3 linked regions of the Lytechinus pictus genome follow. The protein of the gene in region 3 interacts with the protein of the main gene of each other region in a pairwise test. Links are inferred from orthologs where the notes say so. Each region holds a gene or a part of one and is shown on either strand. Other genes may lie near its edges. The genes, in order: rap1 GTPase-activating protein 1-like, G-protein-signaling modulator 2-like and guanine nucleotide-binding protein G(i) subunit alpha.

Region 1 (7,679 bases), on a different chromosome or scaffold from region 3:
GTTAATATCTAACGCTACAGACACACCAATGAAACCGACCCCAAACCAAGCATTGGTATGTCATTGGTAATAATGTAATAGGTTTGGTCGGTCTGGAGGGGTTGGTTTCACCAGTCTGACTATTAGTAGCACGAAAGATTAGAGAGATTGAGTGTAGATGATACAATCAGTGACATACAAGACCTACATCATACATTCAGGTCATGCTGCATTATGTCGTGCTCAAGCATGCATCAGTATAAGGTGTCCAAAAAAAGGAAAAGTTGTTCCAAATTCAATTGCCTCAGAATATTAATAATTTTGTTTTCTACTTCACCAAATTAAATGCTCTGGATTTCCCTTGCTCTGATACAAGAGGCTTTAACCGATGAAGCAAATAGAATTGAAACATTTTGAAAGCCAATAACTAGTAATCCTCAAAACAATGTTCCATTTTTTGTGGAACACCTTGTAACACACCGTTTCAGGCAGTACTTCCTTTTCAAGATTCTACTAAACTCTAAATAATATATGTACATCATAGCACAACATTGATTAATAACTGGTATCTTATCAATGAAAGAGAAAATTAGAAAGGATTTGACAGGTTGATAATATGAAAAATGAAACCACAAGACGAAATGAAATTTAAGTTCAGAGAGAGGGAGAGGGGGGGATAGAGAAATAGAGGTGTACATGGAAAAATTAAGATTAATACTAAACATGACACAATAAATAACACCCACGAAATTGGTCCAAATTGTGCGCTATTCTCCACTGTTGCCAATAGCAACCGTTCAATAATTGCATTCAAACGACAAGAGGTGAAATTTCTCTTTCAACGTCTCCAGAGTCTTCCAGAAAATTTATTGTCCAAATATCACCAGGCGAAATGTGAGGGAATAAGCACTCTATTTATAGCTGCTAACACACATCAGTGGTTTACAAGAAACTATAGAATGACTGAAACAGGGATGGTGAATAAGACAAAAATAATCACGGATGAACTTTCTCAACAGCGATAGTCTCTGTTTTTATCAAATCTGATTCTTCATTGAGAGTGGTGACTGAATCGTTATAAGAAAATGTATTAGAAAGTCAAAAAGGGGCCTAAGCTTTCGATCCTAGCAGAATCTTCGTCGGAGGCAAAATGACAAACATATAAAGTGGAACAACCATAATATAGACCACAAACAAGCTACAGCAACACTAGAAACAAGGAGACAAAAGGGGCATTAGTGAGTAGAGAAGACCAATCAGGTTAGTGAAGGGGATGAAAGAAAAGGAGTAGGCAGACACAAAGGGAAGTTAGTGTAAGTAAGGCCAGTAAAAGACCTCAAGCCAAGAGGGATTAAAATAATGAGGCAGGCAACATCAAACAGGTTCTGGAACATATATATATATATACATGTATAACTTCACACATTTATATATATATATATATATATATATAATAATTATTATATCGCCTGAATAAGGAAGGAAAAATTGGAGCTGAGCTTGTATGAGATATGGGAGGAAAGTAGAGTAAGAAACTATAATGTAACTATTCAAAAGAAAATGTAACTATTCAAAAGAAAATGTATTGGCAGACTTGATACAACATGAGAAAAGTAAGGTAAAGGTAGAATGAGTATTCGTTTTTAAAAGAACTATTTTTAAACAGCACGGGAGCAAAATAAAGTGAAAGTAGAGTAAATAAATAGCAAGAAAAATTGAAAAGAACTGCTGGTGATAGGAAAAACAAGAAAAATGGAAGAGGGCGAAAAATATCAAAATAAAGTAAGAAAGTGAAAGATCAAGAGAGGTGAGGGGCAAGCAACCAGACTGACCTAGCGGACAAATAATACGCCCAGGGTGATCATAACATCCTTACTTTTCTAAAAATTGATTTAGATGATTTAATTTGATTTCGGTTCCCCCTGAAGGGTTGGGTCCCGCGTGATTCACAGTGCAAATTTGTATCGCCTCCGCTGAAAGACAACTTGGCAAATTGATTAATTAGTTCTGGTCTGCTGAAATTCATTACCATGTAATTTGGTGCGATCACCTCCAGGCAACAATAATTCCATCTTTCATTGTGAGTTGAGTAATGAAGAGGATAAAGGGTTTTAATGGTCAGCTGTTGAATGCTTGAGACTCAATTTTATAAATTGGCTTGAGGTCTAATCAGGCCCATGATGTATACACTCAAGGATATAACAGAATAACATAGCAAACATCATCAAAACATTTTCTGGAAATATTTGTGATAGAATTTTATAGGAATTACAACTAGTTGATCTCAGTTAAATCTATTATATCAAAATATTTCGCATGAAAACATTACATTGCCAATAACGTCTTTACTTCTCAAAGCATTATCTTGAATGGAGGAGTGAAATATGCTGGAATTCAATACCAATCTTTATTTTTTTTAAACAAAAACAAAACAAATCGAAAAATTAATACTTACAATTTGACATTTTATCATTTTCAAGGGGTTGAATACCATTATAAAGAACTGGAATGCTCTGTTATATTTATTATATTTGACTTTAATTTAGCCTTAATGCGAAAAATACACTCGTATTAACATGAGCTTGAAATGTTGAGAATTATTGTTATTTCTAACAAAGGATACATAACATACTTTCACTAATATGAACAGATGTTTTTAAACCTTTGAATTTTTTTTTAATAAAGATTTTTGAACATTTAGTTCAATTGTTTCTGTCAGGATGAAATTACTTGTAAACATGATAAGCCTTTGGAGTGTATACTGACTGATGTTTGAGAGCTAGCTTGTCTGCGCCTAAAAACCAATGACTTCTTATTTTAAGAGGATTATTTTGACAAGTTAGTAGCATGGCACCTGCTATTGTGTTGACATCATGTTGAACATTGGTGGATTTATGAAGCACATACAGTACATGCAATGCTGAGAGATTGGGAATAGGAACAGAGTGAGAGAGGAAGGGGTAAAAAAGAAGAAAAAAAAAGAATGACAGAAAATAAGAATTTCTTACCTGTATCTTTTCGAGGAACTCAAAGAAATCTAATTCTGCATCGTTTTTCTGAAAAATAAAATGAAAATGAAAATTATACAATTACGTTTGATATCAGCATTTTATGCAAAATACAATCTAATGTCGAGAGTGAGTCAATGAAAATTTTGACGTTTTTTTATAAGTAAAATGATAACGGAATACAAACCGCAAAGCATATTGTGACATAGTTTAATACAAGATTGAATTACATATACCTTCAAAAGTTGCAAGAATGTTTGTGATAAGAAGTCGGGCCTACAAATACAATGGGAGGCAGAAGAAAATTTGCATTTTTCAATACCATTGTTGCTGGTTCATTATTACAGGAAATTGATCTGGTTATGGCAGATATGAACATGCAGAATAAATTATCAGGTACATTGAGGCATGGATAATGAATAACAGGTACATATGCCTTCAATAAATATTATGCAATTGGATTAAAGGCATTTCACAATGTAGGAGACAGGCAACAAAACAAAGACATTCGTTGAGAGAAATAAAAAAACAAAATGCCTGACTTCAGGAATCTTGTTGGAAAAAAACCCCCAACAAAGCATGGATAAGATTGCACTCTATTGACCAACAGAGTCAGGATGTAAACAAAAAAAACTTCATTAGGTTTTGTTCTTGAATGATGATTACTTGCACATGAGTAAAACCGAGAAATCTGAAACATCTTGAGAATGGTTCACCAAGGAGCGGGTCAAGCTTCTCAATACTGCACCCATTCACACAATGAAATTTATCGAATTACAAAATAATACTGCTATGCCACTACCAGCATATGTTTTCTTAATGAGACTAATGAACTTGATAGTGCAGTGCATACCATTCTTATCTCTTTCTCAAGACATTGTTTGTGGTATACACTTCTTACATTTTTTCTTTGATCTTTTTCCTAGTGTAAATAGGTTGCTTATCAATCTTTTATTCATAGGCTATGGATAATGAGTGGTAAAGTAAAAAAAAAACACTAGTTGACTGGTCTTTTGAAAAGCTGGCTGGCGTCAGGTCTTGAGCCAAACAGGCAGCATGCTAGTCTGGTATTTTCCAGGCCAGTACTTTAATTCCAGACAGATGTGATGATTATGATGCTCCAAACACTTATATGCTGTTCACACTGCATTTCCTTAACCCCATTCTATTTTTTGTTGTTTCACACTGTCTTTCTGAACCCCATACTATTTGCTAAGCCGTGGGTAACGCCTTAACCCTGGACTATAGCACAGCGCATGAATATTGATGATTTGGCCACACAAGGTGGTTTCAGACCGCCTCGAAGTTCGTCAGTTCCAGGTATTCTCTGATCGGGAAATTTACCCCGATCAGAAAATACCAGGTATTTTGGTAATGTGAAAGCAAACTATGCGTAATTTCCCCGAAAGAAAATACCCGCTAAATAGTAGGTATTTGGCGAAATTACGAGAACTTTCGCGGGGATTTTTCCAAGGTTGCAGGTATTTTGGCAATGTAAAAGCAATTTACGGGAACTTTTAGCCCAGCGTGTCGTTGGGCGCGGGCGCCGTGGGTGGCTGCTGGGCTAGTGATTTTGAATCTCGCGCCTTGCCTGCTTATTAGACCATACTGCGCATGCTCCTAACTTCAGGAATTTATCGCGAAGGGTATGTTTCGGGGCGGTGTAAATGCAGGAATAATTAATGGGTATTTTTAGCCTAAAAATTTTCTCGTAATTTAACGGGGATTCTTGTGATCGATAATGAGCATGATTAACATGCAATTTCGACTTCTGCAATAGGCTAATGCTTAGCCCACTTTTCCTTAGTCCGGTTTCGTTTTACACTGCATCTCTTAGCACCGCAATAAGCCGGCTTACCCTGCTTTTTAGCAGGGCCAGATAATACCGTACAATTTACCGTGCTAGCCCACTTCGCTAAAACGCAGTGAAACCGAATCGGGCTAAGCTTAACCCCAGGATATTGGTGGGGCTAAGACCCCCGTTAGCCCCACCAATTTCCCTGAGTTAAGGAAAAAAGTGCAGTGTGAAAAGCATATTAGCATTTGGTGCAATCACAATTGCAGATACAATTGCAGATAATGAAAAACAACATGGTAAGAAAGGGATTTTCTCTTTTCACATAATCTGCAATGAAACTTGATGTGCACCACCTCCCCTTCTTGGGGGAGAGTTAGGCCTACACAAAAGTGACATGTTTCGTATTTCATACCGAAAAAAAAAATTAAGGACATCATCCAATCATCACCAGCATTCATTTACTTTCAAGCACATGTTTCCATAAACCATTCAATGAAGAAAGGAATGTTGGCTCTAATCCGCTCTTGACTCATACCAACGCCACAACGTCTGGAGGTCTACTTAAAAATGCTAATTTTCAAGAGACGGTCCCAACGTTATCTAACTAAAAACAAACTTATCAATGAAGTCTGACTAACTCCCTCTTCCCTGGAACCATCATGGCTGATGATTTCAAATGGTTATTTACACAGAAGGTAATAATATGAGTACATTGCATCATTAGTCATCCCATGTCACCATCCCCCTCCCCCAAAAAAGCCAGCCAATGAAAAAAAGGGGCAAAATATTCTGATATATCCCCATTTTCCCTATAATACAATAGTATTGCATTACTGATTTTAAAGGTCCATCTGCACAGTAACCTCCCAGAAGGGTTATGTACTCGGACACAACTTTCTTGCATCCCCAAACCCCCCATTTGTTGAAACACAACATAAAGGTCTGAACTTTCAGACTACAAGACAGGAATGGAAATCATGTCCTGAAGCTAAATTGCAAAATAATGCCTATAGTCTCTGCCTGCAGACTCAGTCTTGGGTTTTGAGAAGCCACTGAATGTACTATATAGGCCTAGTTAATAAAATTCAACAGTCAAGAAGTTAATACAAACTAATACTAGGTCTATGTATGCTGCCAGATTATAAAATACACGTCAGGCAACCAGGCTTTTACCTTCAGGAAAGCAAGGGAGATATTATAGAATGGGTCGAGTTAGGATGACTTTTTTATGTTTTTTTATTTTTGGAATGACATAACAATGCACCTGTCTCATTGCATAATCCAATGAAAGCGACTATTGCTCCTTTTTTGGAAGCCCCTTGATATGGTAGACATAAGTTACAGGGAAGTCAGGTATCTTCATTATGATGCTTCATTCTGGCTTCCCCATCGTAAAAAGAAAATCTTCGGGCATGGAAAATGGTTGTTATTTGAAAGTTATGTAACTCAACAATGAACCTGCTGTCAAACAGGAAACAGGCTGTGTTCTTAGGAAGTGATGATGAAAGAGAGAGGAGGGGGGAGACGGACAGAAGGGGAGATAGAAAGGAAGAGAATGAGAGAGAATGGGGGAAGAAAGAGAAAGATAGACAGAGTGGGAAGAAAAAGAGGGGAGGGAGTCACAGAGAGAGAGAGAGAGAGAACAAGAGGGGGGTGGTAGGCTTCCATCATCTCAAGGACAAAGAGATGTAAAAAGTCCAATTAACAATTGGCCAGAATCATCTGTAACATCACATAATAAAAAACATTCACCATCCAGACTCCATAATAAAGCACACACTATCTGATGAAGATAACCTGGCTCTAGTCTAAGCCCTAACCCAGACAAACATTAGATATTACTCAAAGTTATTTGGTCCCACAAGGAAAGAGAATAGGTGGTTTCAGACCGCCTCGAAGTTCGTCAGTTCCAGGTATTCTCTGATCGGGGAAATTCACTCCGATCAGAAAATACCAGGTATTTTGGTAATGTGAAAGCAAACTACGCGTAATTTCCCCGAAAGAAAATACCCGCTAAATAGTAGGTACTTGGCGAAATTACGAGAACTTTCGCGGGGATTTTTCCAAGGTCGCAGGTATTTTGGCAATGTGAAAGCAATTTACGGGAACTTTTAGCCCAGCGTGTCGTTGGGCGCGGGCGCCGTGGGTGGCTGCTGGGCTAGTGGTTTTGAATCTCGCGCCTTGCCTGCTTATTAGACCATACTGCGCATGCTCCTAACTTCAGGAATTTATCCCGAAGGGTATGTTTCGGGGCGGTGTGAATGCAGGAATAATTAATGGGTATTTTTTAGCCTAAAAATGTTCTCGTAATGTATCGGAGATTCTTGTGATCGAGGTGGTTTGAAACCGCCTTTTGTAGAATTAAGCCTAGTTCCATGGTCCTATCATGCCATGGGTCTACAATGCAGACCATTTCCATGTCCAATATGCTACTTATACCCCTTTCATAAACCCAATAAAACCCAATTATGCGGCTAATAGCAGCATAATTTGGTCGTAAAATCAGAGGAGGACAAGAGTTATCCGCATTATTCTGATGCTGCTATTGTCCGCATAATAGCGGCATCGGGACAAGATTTTGAGTTTATGAACGTATTTCCAAATAATGCGGATAATTGCCATGGTGCGGTCACAAGGTCACCCTTTTCCAACACAACCGCATCGGAGGGGGCATGTCCAGTTGTCATGACGATTATCCGCCTTTTGCAGGACGGGCGCTCGTAAAAATAATGCGGATAATTTTCGGAGTTTGTGAACGCAATTTTTATTGAATTATCCGCATTACTCTTAGGCGGCTAATTGGAGGATAGGTTTTATTGGGTTTATGAAAGGGGTATAAAAGTATATTTCATCAAATGAAAATATCATTCTAAATAAATTTGTGATATTTGGTA
Region 2 (7,910 bases), on a different chromosome or scaffold from region 3:
AATATTAGAAATAGAATATGAACAAAGGTGCCATACTCCACTCTCACACCTGTATGTATCTCAAGAAATCTTCTTTCCTTTTCTTCAGTCTTCCGAGACGGTATTCATGAGCAGTCCTCTTCTTCACAATTGCTCTGCAAAAAAAAAGGTAAGGGAAACATGGGTTACAAAAAAAAGATTAAGATCTTCATTTTTGTGTGATACTGATAACATTTTTTTTGCTTGTCCAGATGTCTAATTCATTTTGGTCGAAATAACCTTACATTTGGGATCTTTTTCTTTTTTTTGCTTGGCTTGCCTTGTCAAATTTTCCAGCCCCTGATCCCCCCTACATTTGGGGAGAGATTTCAACCCTTGGAAATATCACACATTATCCCGCAACCAAATTCTGGGCGGCGTGTCCGAATACTGGGCGGAAAACATCTCCTTCTACATCATGTTCTATCAAAATAAATGTACTATCAGTATCACCACGATCACCAGCAATTTTGTTAAACATGATTATTCAATATATGAGTTCGATAATCTGAAACTGAAAGAGGACATTTTTTTCTTTCTCCTGTCCTGGTTGGTGGATTTACAAATAATAAGGTAGGTATTTATTTTACTAGCAATTTCCCCTCAAGTGTCCGAATACCGGGCGCGTTACCCTACCGACCGTCTGTCCCTAGTTTTGTTTTTTTTTAGCGTGCGCGTGGTGGCTGGCGATGGGCCGGTCGCCCGGTCGGGCTGCGGGCCCGCTGCAGCTGCGGGGATGAGGGTTTCGAATTCGAGCTTCCGTTGGGCCTAGGCCTACTTACTTAATTTCAGATTTTGTAAAGAGTCCTACGCGTTCAAGCTGCTCTAACTCCGCTAGTGTTTCTTCGATATTTTGATGAACGAATTCCGCCATTATTGCTTCTCAAAAACTCAAATGTCAGCACAGTGAATGAAGTTTAAGATTTAAATTACGTGGTGTCTGTGGTACATGCCGTTGCGACGCCACGTGGTATAACTTGTGCATGCACTTTGAAGAATCGTCTAGAAATCTAAAATCAGCTCGTCCTAAAGGCCCATTGAAAGGGGGAAAAGATCGGTATTAAATATTCCGGTGATCGAGTGTTTTCATTGACTGATTTTATTTGGCATCTCTTCATCCGGTGTCACCATATACTAGTACATTAGCATTAGAAACAATAGACTTGCACATGACAACCCACGAAAGTTTGAAAGCCTATTTCCAGAAGAATGTAAAGAAGAAAAAGAATTGAATAGGAAGAGACTAAAATGAGGAGAAGAAGGAGGCGGAGCTAGAGAAGAAGATTCGAAGAGAGGCTAAAGAAGAAGAAGAAGAAGACGACGAAAAGAGGAAGAAGAACGAAGATGACCAAGAAGAAGGAGGAGGAGAAGAAGAAATAGTAAAAGAAGAAGCCAAAAACTACTGGAAACTTAAAAAAAATATTAGATCTAGAGGTCAGGGGCGTCGATCCGATTGGGGGGGGGGCAAAATCATGAATCAACGTTCCAAAGAAGCTCGATCACACAAAACGAACAAACTCACCCACACACACACATAGGCCTATATTATATATATATGCATATGTATATATATATATATATAGGTATCTAAAAGAACAATAGATGCGAGCGCGAAGCGCGAGCTGAAAATTTTGATATTTCGATCTGAAAAAAATGACAGTTTAATGGACGTTTTTAATAAAGAACAAGATATATATCCAACAAAAGATTATTGCAAATCCAAGCAGGAGTTCTTTTGAGGTTTAGAACTGAAAACAGGACATTCTATTCACTTATTTAATCGTGAAAAGTATGGGTTTTTGCTACAAAAATGATGCGAGCGCGAAGCGCGAGCTGAAATTTTTTATATTCCAATCTTAAAAGCGGACATTTTAAGCACGATTTTAGATAAAGAACGAGTTATTATATTTCAATCTCGCTTGCTGATTTCTGTGTTACATTACAATCTTATTTTATTTTTGCACATGTGGAATTATTGGGGGGGGGGCAAAACGATATGTTTGCCCCCCCCCCCCAATATTTTCATTGGTGGGGCGATCGCCCCTCCCCCTGCCCCCCAGGATCGACGCCTCTGTTAGAGGTCAAGTGCACCCCGGCCGTGAAAAATGTTGATTTGTACGAATAGAGAAAAATCTAACAAGCATTATGCTGAAAAATTCATCAAAATCAAATGTAACTAAAGTTATGACATTTTAAAGTTTTGCTTATTTTTCACAAAACAATGATATGCACAACTCAGTGACATGCAAATATCTCATTATGTCTAAAACCAACATTTGGCATTTCGTTTTGGGAAAGTTTATTTCATCCAAAGTGTGAAAAAAAAATTGCCCCGATTCTAAAGGATTTTATTCCTACAATTTTTTTTTTATTCTGGGCTATATATAATAGTGGGAAAAGTTAACTTTTTGCTTCCCAGCAAACTCAGTGAACCCTGACTCTTATTATCAACCATAAGCTATAACTGGGCAGAGGCTATACTTTTTTAAATCAAGTTCTTTCTCCATTATACCGTTTCCCTTCTTGATCCTCTTTATCTCTCTTTTCTCTTCTTTTTTTCCTTTTCCTTCTCTTCCTCTCTGAGTTTCGCTATCTCGTCTTATAGTCTTCCTTGGTGAATCATTTTTTAAAGAATGTCGTCAACCTGACGTCAACCGCTTCTCATTTCGTTTTTTCCTTCACTGTAAAAAATATTGGGTACAATTTTAACCAGCACGAGGGTAATTATGTGTCCAACCATTTACCGAATGCGGGAAGCATATACGTTAAAAAATAAGCAGCAATTACTTTAGAATGGGCAGTAGAAAATGATTAAACTTCTCGATTGGACGATTATAAAAAAGATATGCAGTTAAAGGTTGGGGATCGAGTAGACGTATGGCTAATAAATTGAAATAAAAAAAACAAAGCTCTATTATAATGACATAAAGACACTTTTCCGTCAATAGTAGGAGAAATAATTTTGATTGCTTTGTAAAAAGAATATGTCAAGGTATATTTACTATTCTAAATAAGAAATCGGTGAGAAAGAGACTCGAAATTTTACAAAATATTCGTGTTAAAAGCATTGTCCTTTATTACTAATAACAGGAGCAATAAATTTGATTGATTTGTAAATAGATTGTCAATGCCTATCTGCTACTTAAAAAAAAAACATAATTCGGATGCCGAAAGACGAGACTCGAATTTTTTAACAAAATTTGACGGAGTTAAAAGCGTTGTCTTTTAATGCTAATTTTAGGAGCAATAAGCTTGATTGATTTGTAAATAAATTAATGTCAAGGTCGATCTACTACAAGACTCGAAGTTTACAAAATTCGAGTAAAGTACTGTTATATTAATGTCATTTCCTTATATTTCATTAAATGATTTTAGGGGCATCAGAGTAAAAGTGATTTACGTGCGTGACAGAAAGATTTCGCAAATACGTGATAAAAGAGTGGCTGAAAAGTAATTTATCTATTTTATTTATTCATGTTGTATTTAACAAAATTCGATAAAAATTACAGTGGAGGGTAGTCCGGTTCAGTTATAAAACTGTTTTACAACGGAGCCCTCCACGAATAAAAAGAAACATAAACATGATACTAATCAAAAGCAGAACACATACATAGTAAATGAATAAATAACAGAAAATGAATATCATGAAATAGATAACATAACACAAATCATAATTTGAATAAATATTGAAAACATAAACAAAAACACAAAATAAAATATAAACAAAAACCGTGATTAAGTGTGGCTACACGTGGTATACCCCCCTCCCTCCCAAACTAGGCCAGGTTGTGAAAGTTTTTTGAAGTTATTTAGGGATTAGAGGTTTGTACGGACAATGGTAATTTATTGAAAATAGAATTTGCAGTGAATGAGAATGATCTTTTTTTGTATTCAGATTTAGGGTACGTATGGTATATTTGTAGACGATTTTGGGCAGAATGTCTATAAACAATGGGTCGTATAACAGATAATGGTTTCAAGTATTTTGGTGCAGAATCATTCCAAATTTTGTAAATTAGAATACATTGTTGGTATTTAATCCTCTGTTCAACGGATTGCCAGTTGAGTGTAGTTAAGCGAGTCTTTGATAACTAATTCCAATGTAATTTTGGAAACTCGGGGCATGAATTTCAGCAAAAAAACACTACTACTACTACTACTACTACTACTACTACTACTACTACTACTACTACTACTACTATACTACTACTACTACTATACTATGACTACTACTACTACTACTACTACTACTACTACTACTACTACTACTACTACTACTACTACTACAACAACAACAACTACTACTACTACTACTACTACTACTACTACTACTATACTACTACTACTATACTCCTACTACTACTACATACTACTACTACTACTACTACTATACAATACTATATACCACTACTACTACTACTATACTACTACCACCACTACTACCACTACTACTACTAGTAGTAGTACTACTATTACTACTACTACTACTACTACTACTACTACTACTACTACTACTACTACTACTACTACTACTACTACTACTACTACTACTACTACTACTACTACTACTACTACTACTACTAATACTAATACTACTATACTACCACTACTACTATTACTTTTACTATGCCTATGTAGAACTACTGATACATGTAGAATAGAGTTGTCCCGACCCCTACTTATACTCAAACTTTCTAACAAATACCTGTTTCATCCGTTGTGATTACTATATGATCAGGGTTATTGTAATTATAGGGAATTATACGGTAGTTATAATTTTGTGTTTGGCACTCCACCTGCATTGTTCTATCTAATATTGTTTGTGGTATAGCGCCATCAAGTGGTTATTACTCGATCTATTTCGTACACAAGATACAGTAGAGGGAAGCTACGGTAGATAGCGTTTTGCTTTTATATGGGCGGACAAATTTTTCAACGGCTTTTTCATCGACGTACCTCGCCGCCGATACGGTCCCATCATCCGTGCGCGATCCGTGATCGAGATCGACCAGTGGCAGCGCAGCGCCTGGGAACATCTGAACATAAAAGCCTGAAATTCGAAAGCTGTAACTTAAGTTGAATCGGACATTGTTCCGTGCTGAAGTCTGTGAATCTTCGACAGTTTCAAGATCAGATCATCGATCAGAGTTTCCGTTCATCTCCGACTCCGAGAGACCATCCTCGACTGAATCGCAAGTCTTCTCATTTCCAAAAAAAGGCCAGGCACTGCACAACACAGTCACACAAGGATTAGGGGCCGGCAATCAATCACTGTCACTGTGTCAGTCAGAATGGATATCTTCAGTCTAGTAAGTTTTTATTAATTTTTTAAAAACTCTATTTAATAAAAAAGAGTAGGCCGGCCTAGGAGTAGGACTAACGTGTTACTGTTAGACAATCTAACGCAATCTCTGAAAGAGTTCCCCACCAAAAATAACAAAAGATTAATAAGACTTTACCGTAATATACTAGTAATAGTTCCGGTTCGTTCATTTTTCTATCATTTTTTAAATTTTATGATAGCGGTCCCCAAGTCTGTGCACCTAATGATTTGAGTTGAGATTTTATTTAACATGAATTTCTTTTCATTTCATAAAACCTTTCAGTTGATTGATACGAGTTAGTGTGCCAAATATCTCCTAAAAATTTAAATTAAAAGAAACATAAGGCGTATGATTTTCTTGGAAAAAACCTCATTTTCAGATTGAACAAAAAAATGGTGCCCCAGGGCCCATGTCTGCTCACCCATTCACTTTGCACGCGATCAGGGGATTTTGATGAAAAAGTCTCCATTTTGAGGCCGTCACAAGAAATACCCAAATTTCATTATTTTTCCACCATTTTGAATCGGATTTGTGTATGTATTGCATGTGGAAAGTTTATGTTCATTGCGTACCGGTACCTTCCTCTTTTAGTAGAATAGCGCAGATACGCGTGTGTGCAGACAAGGGAGACTGCGCAGACTTAGGGGAACTTGCCATCTCTTGCTTACCTTAGTTGGGACTCGAACTCGCCTCGTTTTATCTGCAGTCAAGATCTCTTCCCGCTATGCTAGCGAGAAGCGCTGATACCAGAAGGGGTATTTTAACGATTATCAGCCAATTGTTTGACTAGTCTAGACTCACAGACCCAGGGTGCTACATAACTTTTTTGAAGCACTTGCCCAGTCGGGCAAGTAAATTTTCAAATAGTTGGAAAATACTTGCCCGAATATAGATTTCACTTGCCCGAAAAAATCCTTCAAAACAAAGTTTTATTGCTTCAAAACAAGTTATAGCCTTATAGTTTTACATACCATACCATTGACGGCTTTAAAAATACATTTTTCAATATGACTACTGATGTACCTTGTAGTTGTATTTCTTTTTTATCTTGAACATCATGACAAAATAAATGGTAAATATGCTCTTTAATTAATTTCCTAATGTCATATATTTTCCATATATTTTGGAGGGGACTAGGACACACAATAAAAAAAGGGGAAATCACTGAAAATAACCAGAGAAAAAAAATTAAGAGAGGGGGAGAGAATGAAAGAAAAAAAGTAAGAAGAAAGACAGAAAGGACGAAGAAATAAAGGAAGAAAGAAAAAAAAGGAAAAAAAAAGAAATAAAGAGAGAAAGAATGGCTGCGGGGAAGAGAAAGATGGAAAGATAGAAAGAAAGGAAGAAAGAAGGGAAAGGAGGATGGAAAGAAAAAAGAAAGAAAGAAAAAAAGTAGAAAAAAAATGAGAGGAAGAGAAAGGAAGGAAAGAAAGGAATGAATAAAAGGAAAACAAGAAAGAAAAAAGGTAAACAGAAAGGAAGGAAAAGGGAAAGAACGAAAACGAGAGAAAGGAAAGAAGGAAGAAAGAAAAGGTATAAGGATAGATGGAAGGAAGGAAAAAAAAGAAAAGAAAGATACAACGAAAGACAGAAAGAAATGAAGGAAGGAATGAAGGAAAGAGATGAAGGAAGGCAGAAAGAAAAAATAAGGAAGAAAAGAAAGGATGGATGGAAAAAAAAAGAAAGATCAAAAGAACAAAAAAAAATAAAATCAGAAAGAAAGAAGGAAAGAAAGGAAGAAAGGAAGAAGGAAAGAAAGAAAAAAAATAGAAAAAACTTGAGGGGAAGAGAAAGGAAGGAAAGAAAGGAACGAATAAAAAAAGAAAAAGAAAGAAAAAAGGTAGAAAGGAAGAAAGAAAAGAGAAAAAGAAAAGGTAAAGGATTGATGGAAGGAAGGAAAAGAGAAAGAAAGAAAATGAGAGAAATGAAAGAAGGAAGATAGGAAGAAAGAAAAGGTATAGGGCCTATAGGATAGATGGAAGAAAGGGAAAAAAAAAAGAAAAGAAAGATACAACGAAAGACAGAAAGAAATGAAGGAAGGAATGAAGGAAAGAGATGAAGGAAGATAGGAAGAAAGAAAAGGTATATAGGATAGATGGAAGGAAGGAAAAAAGAAAGATCAAAAGAACGAAAGACAGAAATAAAGAAAAACAGAAAGAAAGAAAGAAAGGAAGGAAGGAGAAAGAAAGAAAGGAAGGAAGGAGAAAGAAAGAATGAAAGACAGAAAGGAAGGAATGAAGGAAAGAAAGAAAAGAAAGAATGAAAGGGATGAAGAAAATAAGGAAGAAAAAAAGACGGGAAGAAAAGGTAAAGAATGGATGGACGGAAGGAAGAGAGTAAGAAAGAATGAAAGGAAGGGGAAAAAGAAGGAAGGATTAAAGAAAGAGGTAAACAAAGGTTGGATTGAAGGAAAAAATGAAAAAAGATAGAAAGAAAAGAATGACAGCTATAGTAACAGAAAAAATGAACAAAAGGAAGGAAATTTAAAAAAAGAGATTATAAAGAAGGAAAGATAGGCAGAAAGAAAGAAAATAGAGAGGAAGAAAGCTCAAACTATCCAGTCATAAA
Region 3 (7,750 bases):
AAAATCTCGTAAAAATTTTGGGAGAAATATATATATGATTTTCTCATAAAAACCTCAGCCAGTCATTTTCAGATTGATAAAAACAATGGTGCCCCATGTCTGCGCACCCATTCACTTTACAGTATACACACAATTGAGGAATTTTTATTATAAAAAAGGCTGCATTTTTTAGGCCGTCACATGAAATGCCCGAAAATCATTGTTTTTCCACCATTTTGATCGAGTCAGATTTTTAAATGAATATCTTTCTATGTATTGCACATGTAAGAACCGTCGTCGCGTATCTTCTTGCTAGAATCGCACAGATGTATGTATGCGCAGGCCCTGCGCAAACCCAGGGGACCTTAAGTTACCATACAAACATGTACATTTTGTTGCCCTTCTTTTTAATTCCACATGTTCAGGGAGAAATAAAACTTTGTTTCCCAGGACAATGAGGAGAAAATTAGAATATTTCATATTTCATCTAATAAAATACAAAAGAAAAAGTGAGTGAGTGATGTCATCAGTTCCCTCATTTGCATACCGACCATGATGTGCATATAACTATTTTGAGAAATTAAGCGAAACTTTAAAATGTCATAACTTTCTTATTTTACATCCGATTTTAAAGAAATTTTCAGCGTTATGCTTGTTAGATTTGTCTCCTTTTATTCAAATCAACTTTTTGGTGGGGTGGACTTGTCCTTTAAATTCAAAGCTACCAGTTGATAGAGCAGGGGGCTACATGTATGTACATATAACCCTCAATTAGGGTCACTACATGTATCTTTAATAGCATGCTATCTTTGCAGTGAACCATGGAGAAAAGCTGGATTTTTCCTTGAGGTCATACTTTTATTGAGCAGCATTTCCAATTCTCCTTCCCTTTTTACCTCCATTCTAAAACCGGTTCTTGTTCTTCTTTGTTAGCTTCAGAGAGATCCTACATATATGTAGATTACATGTAGAATCAAATGGCTGAATTTTTTGTTCAAATATGACAATCGTGAAACTATGCAAATGTCTTGTAGATTTGCTGCAGTGAGCAAAACACCAATCCTTGGTTAAAATGGGACTGGGGCAACCAAAAAAAGAGAGTCAGGCCACCAAAATTCTGTTAAAACCCACACTTGGTGGCCCGATTAGTCCACCAAAATCATCAATTTCATATTTTTTGGTGACCAGCAAAGCAAATTTGGTGTCCCTAAAACAATAGACAACATTACAATTTATCAAGACTTTGGTAGCCCAATCAAGCCACCAAGTGTGGGTTTTAACATAATTTTTGGTAGCCCGACTCTTATTTCTGGTTGCCCCGGGCCAACAGGCCACTGCTTATGTCGAGCCCTGCCTCAAATGTCTACTGTCTCCAGCACCAGAGGCTATCAAAAACCTACAATTTCAAAGACAAAAGTTCTTCGGTTTGGAAGACGGGGCCCTATTTCTTGGACGCATCAGCTCCACACACTCTCTTTGAAAAGTCAAGGTACACCCTGTACAATGTACATGTACATGTAGACAATACCCTAATTCGACAAAGTGCAGGCGCATGGACTTTACACATGTAAAGCACATATCTGTTCACAGACCATTGTTCTCGAGCTTTGCTTTCCATTGAGAGTGAGTCTATCTGGAGTTCTTTGTTTTCATGATGCTGGCCCGTTTTCTTTATTTTCATTTTAATATTTGGGTATTTGTGATTCTGATTGGTGGAACTTGAAGTTTTGTCAAATTCTTAGAAAACATTGTTTTTGATATGATTGAATTTATGAAAGTGATCAGTAATACATCACTTTCCTGCGTTTGTTTTCTTTGTTGGTTATTCCAAATATAAAAGAGCACATTAAATTTTGTTTATGAGTATGACATGTGGGAACGCTGCATTTCATGTCAGTGCAAAAACGCTAACACCACACTTTCGTTCATCACATCCGCACAAAAATGCCATTTCTGCACCGATGTGGTTGGCGATGTTTCGCTAAGGAGTACGGGCTTTCTTGCACCAACACAATTTTTTGCGTAATTGCTTTAGTTGATCTTGTAGCAGCTGGATTTTTTACACATATCTAAGCAACAACTTGCGAACAGTCACAGCTCAGAGTCAGAGTCAGAGAGGTGGTCAGTGGTCAATAGTTACGACTCAAGACAAAAGGTGGATCAAGTGAAAAGCAAGTACCAGTAGCTAACATGATAATAATGTTAAAACATGTTTTAGAATTTAATTTTCATCCATTCATCATATTTTTTGTTATTCTACAGATATTATCATTCATTTGACTTCATACAGCAGCAGCAGTGAACAAGATTCCACACTCCACTGCACTGCTACTGCACTGCCACTGGCCTGGCACTGCACAAATCCAGCTCTGTCACTTCACACTTCATGTTGTTATGACTTATGTTAACACATCATTTGCCTGTGTGATTAAATTTTCATTTTTCAGTAGGCTATGGTGATCCACAATACGTACCCAAGAGCAATAATTTTACTTCTCTAGCTGCTTTTTCTCCTTCTAACCGTAGATTTCTGTCAATCATTTTCGACCGCTCAGCGGCCGCTTTATCTTCTGCGCTCGTAGCGCACCCCATTTTGGAATAATAAAATAACGTTTATGCACAGTCCAGTAAGTTAAGAACAGCCGGTCAGACACTCGGTCTGAATGTCTACAAACCGTCGATATATCCTCTTTATTCTCCAAACTCTAGAGTCCTTGGTAGTTCCATTTAAAATTGGTTATCCTGATACAATTGCACCGTCCAGCAGTGTCCAAAACAAGTTATTTTTCCGCACAAAAGTAATGATATTCCGTTCTGCAAGCCTTTCTTCCGTAGAAATTCACCGTATACCACCACACCCCAGTCGAGTCGCGCGTACACACAATACACGTACACCGTACCGTACCACCGGCACACTTTTGCTACACAAGATCAACGGCGAAGCAAAATCGGTACCCGCATAAAATCGCTCATGATGCTTTATCGCGGCCGACCTCTCAGATCGCAATACGAACGTCGTACATCTCTGTGAAAGGCATTATGGGAAATGTCCCGGATTCGAAGCGATATAACAAATTATACACCAGAATTTCAGAAAGGATAAAAATTTGATTGGGCCTAATAAAAAAAAAATTTGGTTCCTCGACCCACGGATCATGGCCCTGGGAAGCAGGGGGTGCTAAGGGTGCTAAAGCACCCCCCAAAAATTCCTTGGGGGTGCAGTGCCAGTGTGTATACTTTATTATTCTCCTGAGGCAGCACACCTGGTAACTTAAACGTTAGGCCTATTCTGGAAGAATTGTGTAAAAATGTAAAAATTATATTTAGATAACCAAAATGACATTCATTTTGTATTGAAAGCTTTGGCAACTTTTAATCCGCATTTTAACGTTAATTAGGTCTGTGGGAGCCTAACTGTTAGATCTATATCTAGGTTTATCCTCGGTTTTAGAAAATTAGGGACATAAACCATTTGCACACAACAGTAGCTGTAGCAAAAAAATATATATTATCCACGTCGTTTTAATATTTTTATTTGTTTGAACCTATGTATAGGCCTATATAATTATACAGATCTATAGCCATTGTTCTTTTCATTCATTTTTTTCAAATATATTTAAATACAAGAGTTGCAAAAGCTATTGTACATGTATAATTTTTTTCACATTTAACATTATATATATATATATATATATATATATATATATTGTGAAAAAAATGGATGAAGAGAACAATGGTAGGCGTAGCTTAAATCAAAGTTCCCCAGGGGGAATATATATATAGGCCTATATATATATATATATATATATATATATTTCTATACATCTGTGTTTAAGGCGAATTATTTTTGTCTTCTTTCGTTGTTTTTAATGCGCCTTAACGCCATCTACCTTCGTCTTTACGTCTATATGTGTATTATGACAGAATAAACCCATTCATTGACTTCGCCCTTTCGTAGGATGTAGGCATATATATATATACATATATATTTCGGCCATATATATATATATACTCAATATATTCAAGTACAACTGAATATATGTATAATGATTTTTTTTTCTTCCTACTATTTTCATTCCCATTCTTGTTGTTCTTCTCTTTACCCATTCTGTGTACCGCCAATAGAGGGCAGCTTCCATTCCAGCATTGGTCCCTTTCATTTCTGTATGTTATGGGCCTATGATAATTTTTCAGTGCATAGATCAGTATTCCCTTTCCTTTGAAAAGAAAACAAATATTCAGGGGGTAGGGCATTTAAGGCCGTATCGACATGGTGCCCCCCCCCCCCTCTCCCCTCTATCTCTCTCTCCCTCTCTCTTCATTTCCCTTTCCTTTCTTTTTTCTTTTCATTCCTTTTCGGATGTCTTGCTTTCCGGCTCCCGAACGAGCAGGTAATTACACATAAGAGGCGATCAAAGACATTATTCTTGTCCAATTTTTTTTCTTTTTTGTCGATGTTGTTAGAGGGGGGCACAATTCTTTTCCTTTTTTTTGGGGGGGGGGAAATATGACTATGAAATAATAAAACGTCCGTGAATACCCTAAATATCAACCTACACACAAGGACAGGGGCTGTCCGTTTTTAACTTCCCCCTGTTTTCTTTTCTTCGTTTCCATTCTTTTGCTTCTCTATCTCCCTCTCTATTTTCATTTGTTTATTTTTCTTCTCCCTTTCCATCTCATTTGTTCCTCTATCCTCACTCTTTCCATATTTTGCTTCTCACCCCTTACCTTTTTGTCCCCTCTACCCAAGGGCGGATCCAGGATTTTCCAAAAGGGGGGGGGATATTTCGTACCCGACAAAAATTTGACAAGCAAAAAAAAAAAAAAAAAAAGGTCTTCAATTTCACAAGAGGGGGAACACCTCTTTCTCTTTTCTCTCTCCTCTTTCCCCTTCCTTTTCTCCCCTCACTTTCTCGTCTCTCCCTGTTTTTACATTGTGTATTTATCTACAGGGTGCAAGGGGCCCTTGACCCTCATGCATGGGCGGAAATCAGAGGGGGACAGATGGTCGCGTCCCCCCTACCCAAAATAGTAGGGGGACACAATTTCAAATGTCCCCCTATTATTTTTGGTCTTCTATGATGGAAAAAATACATCATTCAAAATCGAAATAAAACGTGTGTTTTGGTCGAAATGACTTTACACTTGGGGTGATAACCTTTTTTTTTTGCTTGTCAAATTTTCCAGCCCCTGGTCCCCCCCCCTACCTTTGGGGTGAGATTTCCGCCCTTGCCCTCGTGGAGGCACCCCTACCCATGCCCCCCTGCTGTTTCCGACCGGCATTGTCCTTTTTTCAGTCTACCAAATAATATCTGGCTAATAATTTGTGACTCCTTTTGGATGTCTTGCTTTCCGGCTCCCGGACGAGCAGGTAAACACCCAAAGGCATTATTCTTTACCAATTTTCTATAATTGAAGATGATGATAAATTATTCAGAGCACAAATTGAATAAAACCCTTGAACTTCTTTTTAAGAGACGCCATATTTAATGTTCTCGCTCGCTGCGCTCGCACATGAATGGTGTTGGTTCAAGCAACAATTAAGCTCTTTCATATTCTAGGAGAATGATATAGCAGTCAGTCACAAAGGGAACAAACTGTTTGATTATCACTGGATCCACCGATTCCAAAGGAAGACTAGAAATTATTCTCAATAGGTGGCGCTATGTAATTGCTTACCATTATTTTACTCACGGTCCTGTTGAGTAATACCTTGGTCACATTTGATCTACGGCGGCCGTACGGCGAGTCGAAAACAGCCGTTTTATTAATTTTGATTCAAACCACCTATATGTAGTTGGTACACAAAATGTTGAAACGGCTGTTTTCGACTCGCCGTACGGCCGCCGTAGAACAAATGTGACCAAGGTATTACTGGTATCATGGACCTAATAGGTCCATGCTGGTATATAAGGATCATTGGTAAGGGATAGCAAGGCAATTTGAAATTCAGGCGGGGTTCAATTGAGGGAGAGGGGTGCTGGAAAATGCTTGTCGAATTTGTCTTCATACTAAACACTGTTTATTAATATTGTGACGACCTGTTTTCACTTGTCAATATACGTGTATATATTTTGTATTTCATTTTTTTTTTTGGGGGGGGGTGGACTAACAGCACCCCCTTCAAACAAATCTTGGAAACAGCGCCGGCACTAAGTGTCGTGATTTATTCAGCTTCCATTACCATACCCATAATTTTTTCGGGGGGCGGGGGTAACGCGTAAAATTTTTCGATAAAACTTGAAAGTGAAGCAGTGAAGCAATCGAGCTTGTCAATGGAGCGCTTTGTATATTTGTCTTAAATTAAATTGAAGGATTCGTTCACACGTCTGGTGAATTTTGTGATAATTTTCAGTTAATTTTTTTGGGGGGAGGACAGACCCCCCCCCCCCCCCCCTCCGCTGCGTACAGCCATGTTCACTTCTACGAGAAAATGGTTTTGTCTTTCAAAATATGCTGTTTTTCATATTTTTCTTCTCCTTCTTTTGCTTCTTCCTCTTTTTCTTCTTCTTCATTCCTCCTCTTCCTCTCCTTTTTCTTCTTGTCCCGCTTCTTGTTCTCCTTCGGGTAGTAGAGGAAAAATGTGAAAGCACTGAATGGAGCAACTTTAAAGCGGGTTTAACGTCCATGGTCTAATTCTGCCAAAATTAAAGGACGTCGAAAATGTAAAAAATTTGTGAAATTATATGTTTCTTGTGTTCATTGTGCTATATGCCGCAAAGAAAACTGATGCAAGTTATATTATGTAGGATGAACAAACTTCTACGGGACTAAACCGAACCCTTTTTTTTTATTTCCCAACTGACTAACCAATTAAAAACCAACAACTTTAGAGTTCATCATCAGGGAGTTAGAAACTCCCTGAATTTGTTTCAACACGAGATCGGAATAGGAGCATAATCATTATGAATTGTATCTATATAAATTGAATTTATTGGAACACTCACTGGCATCTGCCAATATTCTAGCTGTTCAAAACAGAAATACAAGTACATAACACACATGTATATACAATTTGAGGAACGTGTGGCGGTAGGGTTGCCATTGGTCCCCTCTTGATCCGTGTGTGAAGAAGGAGGATGATGCAATTATAACCTTCAATGTACACTAGTTGACGGAATCGGATCATGGTTATATGCGTCAGTCCGTCCACGATCCATCGGGTGTGCTGGGTAAACTATTGGAACGTAGAAAATCTATTGTCAAAAGACATCCATGACAAAGAAGTCTTTGTCGAAACTATTAAGTGAATTAAAACTCTAGTATCCATCGTTCTGAACTCTGGACAAACAACATAATTTTCAAATTTTCGTCCGGTCCGAATTAAGCATGGGACAATAATGCTGTCCCTGTCCATTCACCGACTTTCGACAAATATCTCTCAGGTGTCCATTTCGATTTGACTTGCCTTTTCAACAGATGTACCACGTTGCGGAATCAGTCACTGTTGCACTTGAAAATTTCCTATTCCTGATATCTTTACTGAAAACTCCGGCTTGCAACTCGACCAGTTTGGAGTTACCTCATGGGCAATTTTGGTCAAATGACCTTTCATTTCTTTCATTATGATAGGCAGATTTCAAAGCAAAAGATACTATTCAAGCACGCCTTTCTGTTCATAGCAGGATGCAGAAATTGCATAGACCACTTGACTAGAATAGCACATCAATGAACACTCTTATGAAGGTTTTGTTGCATTTCTACTTTGAATGCAAGATCAATGGGAGGCGCGATAGCTCAGTCGGTAGAGCGGGGGTTTCGGATTCCG

The links.
Region 1: the proteins of guanine nucleotide-binding protein G(i) subunit alpha (region 3) and rap1 GTPase-activating protein 1-like interact in a two-hybrid assay, tested with the Caenorhabditis elegans proteins (2 studies listed by BioGRID). The link is inferred for Lytechinus pictus from reciprocal best matches to the Caenorhabditis elegans genes goa-1 and F53A10.2.
Region 2: the proteins of guanine nucleotide-binding protein G(i) subunit alpha (region 3) and G-protein-signaling modulator 2-like interact in a two-hybrid assay, tested with the Caenorhabditis elegans proteins (3 studies listed by BioGRID, with this or other methods). The link is inferred for Lytechinus pictus from reciprocal best matches to the Caenorhabditis elegans genes goa-1 and ags-3.

The regions. Positions count from the first base shown.
Region 1 is NC_087258.1:27,520,405-27,528,083, reverse strand, and holds the start of rap1 GTPase-activating protein 1-like, read right to left. Parts: upstream 3,032-7,679; 5' UTR 2,988-3,031; intron 1-2,987.
Region 2 is NC_087259.1:14,078,000-14,085,909, reverse strand, and holds the start of G-protein-signaling modulator 2-like, read left to right. Parts: upstream 1-4,881; 5' UTR 4,882-5,327; intron 5,328-7,910. Other genes in the region: U3 small nucleolar RNA-associated protein 6 homolog, read right to left, coding at 50-134, 801-892.
Region 3 is NC_087247.1:11,662,166-11,669,915, reverse strand, and holds the start of guanine nucleotide-binding protein G(i) subunit alpha, read right to left. Parts: upstream 3,016-7,750; 5' UTR 2,572-3,015; coding exon 2,454-2,571; intron 1-2,453. UniProt on the Caenorhabditis elegans protein: Guanine nucleotide-binding proteins (G proteins) are involved as modulators or transducers in various transmembrane signaling systems. In the 1-cell embryo, probably together with gpa-16, controls nuclear rotation and spindle elongation during mitosis.